Drosophila melanogaster: one gene and its partner. The protein of the gene in region 1 interacts with the protein of each later gene in a biochemical or structural test. Each region holds a gene or a part of one and is shown in the gene's direction. Other genes may lie near its edges.

Evidence for each region. Proteins that work in one complex are often made in the same cells at the same time.
Region 2: of the proteins of Thor (region 1) and Lrrk, one has a biochemical effect on the other in vitro, tested with the Drosophila melanogaster proteins (2 studies listed by BioGRID).

What each region holds. Positions count from the first base shown.
Region 1 is NT_033779.5:3,476,728-3,480,141, forward strand, and holds Thor (thor), read left to right. Parts: upstream 1-1,706; 5' UTR 1,707-1,888; coding exon 1,889-2,033; intron 2,034-2,457; coding exon 2,458-2,666; 3' UTR 2,667-2,885; downstream 2,886-3,414. UniProt on the Drosophila melanogaster protein: Repressor of translation initiation that regulates eIF4E1 activity by preventing its assembly into the eIF4F complex. Hypophosphorylated form competes with eIF4G1 and strongly binds to eIF4E1, leading to repress translation.
Region 2 is NT_033777.3:20,633,880-20,638,500, forward strand, and holds the start of Lrrk (Leucine-rich repeat kinase), read left to right. Parts: upstream 1-1,600; 5' UTR 1,601-1,758; coding exon 1,759-1,777; intron 1,778-1,936; coding exon 1,937-2,209; intron 2,210-2,219; exon of another isoform or gene 2,220-2,308; coding exon of another isoform or gene 2,309-2,396; intron 2,397-2,461; coding exon 2,462-2,621; intron 2,622-2,683; coding exon 2,684-3,943; intron 3,944-3,999; coding exon 4,000-4,621.

The sequences.
Region 1 (3,414 bases):
AGGTGGAAAATGCGGAGAAGAGCCGCTCTCTCACCCAAAAAATAAAATATATAAACATATCAGCCGGCACGTAGGGCGGTTTCTATGCTGTGGACTACGTGCTAGATGACACGGCAAAATTGTCCGTGTTTTTCGTGTTCTGGCTCCCTTGTTTACCGTTTACTACTTTGGGGGTCAGTTGGCACCCAGCTAACTCCCACCCCCATCTAGTGTAATTGATGGATTTGGGTCATGCTTTCCCCAATTCAAATATGCTCCTCGTCACATGGAAATCTACTTTCAAGGTCTGTCAAGCTTCCCCATTTAGCCATCATAAATATTAGCACGCTTAAGTATCGACCTTGTGCAGATTTCTAGGTGGGCGCCATCCCCTGTCCCACATCGAGATCATGATCGCCGCAGATCAACACACGTGGCCACCTTTTGTCAACCCCATATCCCTCGGAATGGCCCGTGGCCAATATCCGAATTACGTCGAATCGTGGGCGCCAACGTAGGCAAAAGTTCCTGTAGCACTATTTACATGCGTCCAACGATTAAATATCGTCAACATCGCCCCCGCATAGCTAAAACCGCTCGTGCCGCTGCTTGGATCCACCCTATGCTTGCTGCGATCAGTGGGGCATATTAGTTTGATTCCAAACAAGATATTCCACCTCAAAGAACTTGGGAACTAATAAGGGTTCGATCACCAAATTTGGTGATATGATATATGTATTTCTTTAGATATGTGCGCTAATATTAAACGGCTAAGAAGTCAATGTGCCAAAGAAAAGATATTAAATATGTATGTTTCATATCAGTCAAGTTAAATTTTGATATGAGCTAAGCGTACTTTTGGATTGTGCACTCCTAAATATAGAAATCACGCTAAAATTGCATATCTAAGTAAATAAAGCAAGTAAGTTATGTAAGACGTGTATCTTTTCGTGATAATTATTTCAAAACGGCTCGTGCCAGATAATAATGAACACTTTCCGCCTGAAAAAAAGTGAAATGCTGGGTATCTTTTAGCCCATAAAAACCTGCAATATCGTTGCTCAAATTGCTATGCTCCGCGAGTTCGCACATGCATAGAAGGCACTCATAGCCTACGTCACGATTGCCGGCGACGTGTCTTTATGCTAATTAATGGTATTTCGCGAAAACGAGTGCAAAATAATGGCCCCATGGAGAGAGCGGCAGTACTTCACGAAATTCTGCGGAACACCTCTTGACTCCCAGACAGCCATAGATAAGATCCCAATTGCACCTGAGTCATCATCATTTCCCTAGCAAGATCGACAATAGACTTGGTTTTTAGAAAAGAATGCGATTGGCGTTTAGTGCTGTTGGCTAACTTGTTTACCAATAATATTGCCGTGCATTAAACAATAACAAATGACCAAAGATAAACAAGAGCTCAAGGCGAGAAGCCCCTCAAGACAGCCCCCCACCATCGCTACACCCCTTATCATCTAGAACCTCCGAGGTGTGCAGGCTGCAACAAAAATAAGAACAATAGGGGAATATATTAGAATACGGCAATAACAACAAGAACCAGCCGGTTTGTCATAAACTACGCAGAAAATACACCAGATAAAAACAAAAAACATCAGCCGACCAAGCAGAATAATCAGGCGAGAGAGCAGGCGAAAGAGCGAGAAGAGAGCGAGAGAGAGTAAGAATGGGGGGGTATAAATAGAGCCACACTTCGTAATACCGCCAGCAATCGCCTAGCGAACAGCCAACGGTGAACACATAGCAGCCACACAAGCTCTATAGCTGATACAAGCAACGAAATACAAACAACGCAGTTTGTGTAAACAATCAAATTGTCGCAGCCATATCGAGTGTGCTTACACGTCCAGCGGAAAGTTTTCGAAACCAATCCAATCAATCAGCTAAGATGTCCGCTTCACCCACCGCCCGTCAAGCCATCACCCAGGCCCTGCCCATGATCACCAGGAAGGTTGTCATCTCGGATCCGATCCAGATGCCCGAGGTGTACTCCTCGACGCCCGGCGGAACCCTCTACTCCACCACTCCTGGAGGTAAGTTTCGAAAATTGGAAGCTGAGACTACATCGAGTATTATTAAGTTCCTTCCGGAAAGTGGAGTGATTTTCTTATCATTAGATATGATATCAAGATGAAATTAATCAACATATTTCGAAAACATAAACAAGTATACCGTTTCTTTCCTTTGCTCAAACAACAAACAAGCTTTTGTTTGAGTTGTGATACATTATTTTTGTAAAACTCACTCACCATTTTTTGGCTGATGAAACTGGGCCATCTCGCCGAGTCAGTCAGTTGGAAGATAATCCCGAGCACATGTTCCACAGTTCGTGACTCAGAGTAGCGCGGCAAAGAAGCGTTTACTCAGCTGGCTTATCAGTGGGGAACTTTGAATACCTTTCTGATGCAACGCAGACCACCTTGACTAATAAAAATTTCCGCTTTCCTATAATTCCAGGCACCAAACTTATCTACGAGCGGGCTTTCATGAAGAATCTCCGTGGCTCCCCATTGAGCCAAACTCCGCCGTCCAACGTGCCCAGTTGCTTGCTGAGGGGAACTCCGCGTACTCCCTTCCGCAAGTGCGTGCCCGTCCCCACGGAACTGATCAAGCAGACCAAGTCGCTGAAGATTGAGGACCAGGAACAGTTCCAACTGGATCTGTAGGGGGTGTGGCGTGTACACCGCCATGCAGCAACTGCCAAATCCAACTAGTTCTTAGATGCACCCACTAAAACCGATCTTATAAGCTTAGTGTACCCATTAACTAGATGCTAAGTTCTTAGTTCTTCCACCTTGTTTGTTCTCTCGGTCATATTGACCCCGTTACCTTGTAAAATCGTAGATCTTAAGTAAAATGCAATAAAAAAAAGGCACACATTATTTAAAAGAGAACCACACCTTCCATTGGGATTCAGTAGCTGCCAATTTACAATTATAAATTTTAATTTATGTTTGAGAAATTCAGTGCCAAATTACTTTCTTTATCGGCAATTCAACCTTGGCAGGCCACGCGTTATGTGATAGAACACTTTCCACTTCACCTTGAGTCAGTTTCGGTTTAGTAGTATTTTCGGCAGTTTGTTGAACTGTTTGAACTGTTTACGAAGAAATTTAGCGAAAGGGGGCTTTTTGGGGGGCGGTACACATGTTAGACAGCTGGAAATACCGGCCGGCTTTTTAGTTAGCCAGTCAGTCAGTGGCCCCAGCAGCGCGTGTCCCACTTATTGCAAAGATATGCATACATATTTATAATGTATCCAAAAACCGGCAAACAAACGCCACAAAAAAATAGATCTTTAAGAAACTGCGCAGTTGGGAAACGACCTCGCCTTTGGCCCCCGCCCCGCCCTTTACCATTTTTCTTATATATACAAAAGTAGTGTGCTGAGCACATGTTCGTTCAGATAGACCG
Region 2 (4,621 bases), on another chromosome or scaffold:
AGAGATCTGGATAACATCCATTGATGCACTGTAAAACTGAGTTGGTTCTAACCGCCCTTTACCACATGGGATAAAATAGAAAAGCAGCCTCTAAAATCGTCGGTTCTTGTTAATTAAAACAAAAACGCTGACTTTTATTTAGTATGAATCACACAGTCATAAGTTGTTGGCTGGGGGTGGGAGGGGTCAACTTGAAAACAAAAACAAGAATTCAGGGTCAGCCAAGGCGACCTATGAATGCCCTTACGTGTTTTTTTTTGCAATTTTAGGCAGTTGAATGACTGAAGTAAGCAGGATTTATAACGAATTCGATATGGCCGTTGAAAGAAAAGTTTCCATAATGAAAATCTAAGCCATTAAGGCATATTTCAGAGCCAAATGTTCAAATTCCGTGACCGAACGGGTGGAGTTGATACCGCGGAAAGGGTATAAAAAAGTTACGCGGCACCGATGTCTCATCTCTAAGTCGCGATGCCACAAAAATGGAAATTGCAGACAGTCAGAAAAGTCTTGAAAAGCACACGGATTGGCAAGTTTTCATCGAAGTTTCACTTGCATTGTGGCGCAGCTCGTTTGTTTTTGTTTTTTGCTTCCATTTTGGCCAGCCCTCGCCTTTATAGCGATTTTTTTTTGGGTGTGAGCTGCGCAGTTTACGCTGCTCCTTACTTGATTCTCTGCACCGGCACCTTCAGTTGGCCTCTGTCGGCCATTCCGCGGTATTGTTATTTTTCAAACGCACCGTGCAATCGGCTCAAATTTGTGTTCGATTAAGGAATATTAAATTGTTTTTATTTGTATTGTTGAGATCGTGCTGTTAAGCGTCTGTTAACGAACACAGGGTGACTCCTGTTGAACACAGGGCGTTCTAGGCTGGCGCTGGTTAATATCGATAGTGTTTCATTCGATTGTTATATCGATATAGGTTACAGTTGGCATCAGTATTTATAAAATATACACAAATACACGGTGCTAATAAATTCTTGTTCGTAAACAGTCATAACAGGAAATTGCATGTTAAAAAAAAAATAAATAAAAATAATTAACAGTTCCTAAGAATCAAATTCTTTTAGATAAAATCATAGCATACAAAATAAAATTCAACAAAAAGTAACAGTCGATAGTGATTCACTGCTTAACTGATTTAAATAATATCGATATTACTGTTGTTGAGTTGACAAGCAGTGCAAAGTAACAGAAACGATGACCACCTTATCGCGTTTTGGTATTTATATATGTATGCTATCAGAAATGAGATATTTCAGCATCAGTTGGGATTTCAAATATTTCACTTGGGAACAAATTTTTAGATGTGTATGAATAAAAATAATAAATGCGTCTTCCAAATACTTGTTCGGCCTTGTTAAATTAATTTTAATTTATAAATTTAAGCCAATGGACATAAAAATCAATGATTTTGGGTAGATTATGATTTAGTTATTAAGCTGGCTTTAATCTTTGGAGAAAAGTACGAAGCCCCCTGCGTGCGACACTGATTAACAGCATTCACTTGCGATATTTCGGTCACACAGAGCGCTTAACAGCATATCGTGCCAAAATGAGGAGATATATTCTAAAACAGTAAGAGGTTACACTGTTTGTTGACAAAAAGGTAAACAAAGTGAAAATTTCGCAAAATGTGCAAAATAATTAAGTAAGGGTCAGTAAAAGGTGCTACTGGTTAATCGGACCATAACAACTACCCATTTAACACATACCATGCATGACTTGGATATCTCGTGAAGTACACAAACCAAAACAATGAGCGACTCCGACGAAGGTGAGATAACACAACTTTTAGTGAAATTATGCACAATATGCTAGTTTTGCGCAAATTTAGTCAGAGTGCAAATGAGCATTATACGCTTGACTATGCAAATTACCTAAGTGGTGCAATTAAAACTTCAACCAGTTGTTATTGGTTTTTCAACAACACCAGCAAGGGCACAGGGTGACATTGGTGCAATGGAAGTGGGCGCGCAAAAACTTTTTTCAAACAGCCACCCCCCACAGAAGCAACTGGTGCAACCACTGGACCATCCGACACCCACGAAGAGACAAATCAAAACAAATGCCACGCACTCACCCAATGCCACATTCTTGAACAAGTGCAACAGTTGCCGCGCTTCTTGGGCTCCGACTTGCGCAGTGCGACATAAAACGGCCTGGATCAATGACCACAAAAACGTGGCCATCGATTTTCCGCAGTTCAGTTTTTGCTAGCGGCGCGTTCGGTCATCATACCGATGCCAATTAATTTTTGGGGCTTATTCGCACCGATTTGGGTTACATAATGTCATGGAAATTCAGCATGGAACATCCCAAAACTGGAACTGAAACAGCTCTGGAAGCCTGTGACTACTTCGTGGATGAGGTCATTGAGGCATCCTCAATACGGGGTGGGAATTGGTTTATTCCAAAGGTGCTGTGTATTAGTTAACCAAGCAAAACTTATCTTTCACAGATGCCCGCGAGGAAGTGCGTCAGATCAAGCACGGGGAGCTGCGAACGGCAGTGATCTCTGGCGATGAGCGGACTGTGCGGGTGCTGCTGGCAGCTCTTGGAACTGAGCGTCAGATTATAGTCAATATGGCTCCTTCAGGAGCAAACACCCTTCTATTCCTGTGAGAAAAAGTCTTTTAGAATTAGTCCATTTTGAGCCAAACTAATATCGGTCTCGTTTTAGAGCCTGCCAGTCTGGTTACGAGAGCATTACACAGCGATTGCTGGATGCTGGAGCGGATGGTCGCTCCCATGCCGTGACCAAGTACTCACCCTTGTACGCCGCCGTCCATAGCGGTCACTTGGGCATTGCCCGACTGATGCTAGACCATTTTCCAGAACTGATCCAGCAGCCGACTGTAGAGCGCTGGCTGCCGCTGCACGCCGCCTGCATCAATGGACACATCAAGCTGCTGGAACTCCTTATCAGCTACAGTTATCCCGACTACCTCTACCAGACATATCGCGACGAGGAGGGCCAGTGGGAATGGCGGCTCCCCTTCGACGCTAACGCTCATGATGTGACGGGTCAGACGAGTCTGTATATTGCCAGCATCCTAGGAAACAAGCAGCTGGTTGGTGTGCTTCTAAAGTGGCAGCTCCATTGCCGGCGTACGTTGGGCGATTCCGCCAGCTCGGTGAGCACTCCTATTACGCCCACCAGGAAACGTATTTCATTTGGCATTCAGGCTATCATGTCCAAACTGCACATATCTGGAGAGTCAGAAGGACCCGACGACCTAGCTTCACAAGAGTCAACCGAGTGCCAACGGTGTCCCATTAACGTGAATCTGCTATGTGGAGCGGCGAGAGAAACAGCTCTGCTTGCGGCCGTTCGAGGCGGCCACCTAGACGTGGTGCAGTCTCTGCTACAGCACGGCGCAAATCCGAATATTGTAGCCAAGCCAGTTGAGGATCACAACGACCCGAAATGTTGCGAGGAAATATATGGGCTCAGTAATGTCCCCATTGCAGAGGCCTGCAAGCAAAGGTCGCTGGCTATGTTGGATCTCTTGCTTAAGCATGGAGCCCGCGACGATAATGGCACGGCCATTGGAATGGCTATTACATGCGGCGACGAGGCCATCCTGAGTCGTCTTTTGGCCCGACGAGTCCATCCGGACTCAGACTACAAGATCAACAAGAAGGGTCTTCCCACACCAGTGGAGGTGAACGTGTTTTTGCCGTCCACCAGCAACATATCTTACAGTGCTATGTTCCCCAACAATCCAACCATTATTGACTGGCACAGCATGGGCTCCAGTGTCCAGTTGTCTGTTGTAAGGGTTCCCTGGATGGTCAGCGGTGTGTTGCTGCTGAATCCTAAGCTACAGTCGCATCCGCGACTTAATGAGGTTGCTCTGACAGCTATCACGCGAATAGATTTCTCGCACAACGTTCTCACGTCAATTCCACAGGAGCTTTTCCATTTGGTTAGCCTAAGGTTAGTAAAGACAAAGTAATAAGTTTTTCAAGAATTATATTAGTCCTTCATTTAAGGTATTTAAATGTGGCGCAAAACAAGATAACCGATCTACCTGCACCAATAGGCCAGACATATGGGTGTCCGGTACTGGATGAACTCTTTCTACAAGACAACCAGTTAACTACGCTGCCAGCCGCCATCTTTCACCTGCCCGCCCTATCTATATTGGATGTTTCAAATAACAAACTGCAACAGCTTCCCTTCGACCTGTGGCGTGCACCCAAGTTGCGCGAACTTAATGTGGCCTTCAACCTATTGCGGGATCTTCCTGTGCCGCCAATGCAAACTAGCAGTTCGCTGCTGAGCCTAGACAAATTGAATCTGCAATCTTTTGAGGAGCCGCCATCAAACAAACCGCGAAATGTGACTCAGCAACGTCTCACCCATCGCAATCTATGGTCGGCTACTTTGGACATAACCGATAATGACATGAAGTGGCAGCATGAACAAGATTTAGGCGATGGAAAGACAGCTGGTGTGGGCTCCTCCCAGCTAAGTAGCTTAAATATAGCAAATAACCTCTTCACCAGTATCCCCGCTGCTTTGCCCTGTCTGGCTGTAAACCTAACACGGCTGAATATGTCATACAACAGTCTGCGTTCTATGGGACATGTAACCAGTTACCCGGCAACACTT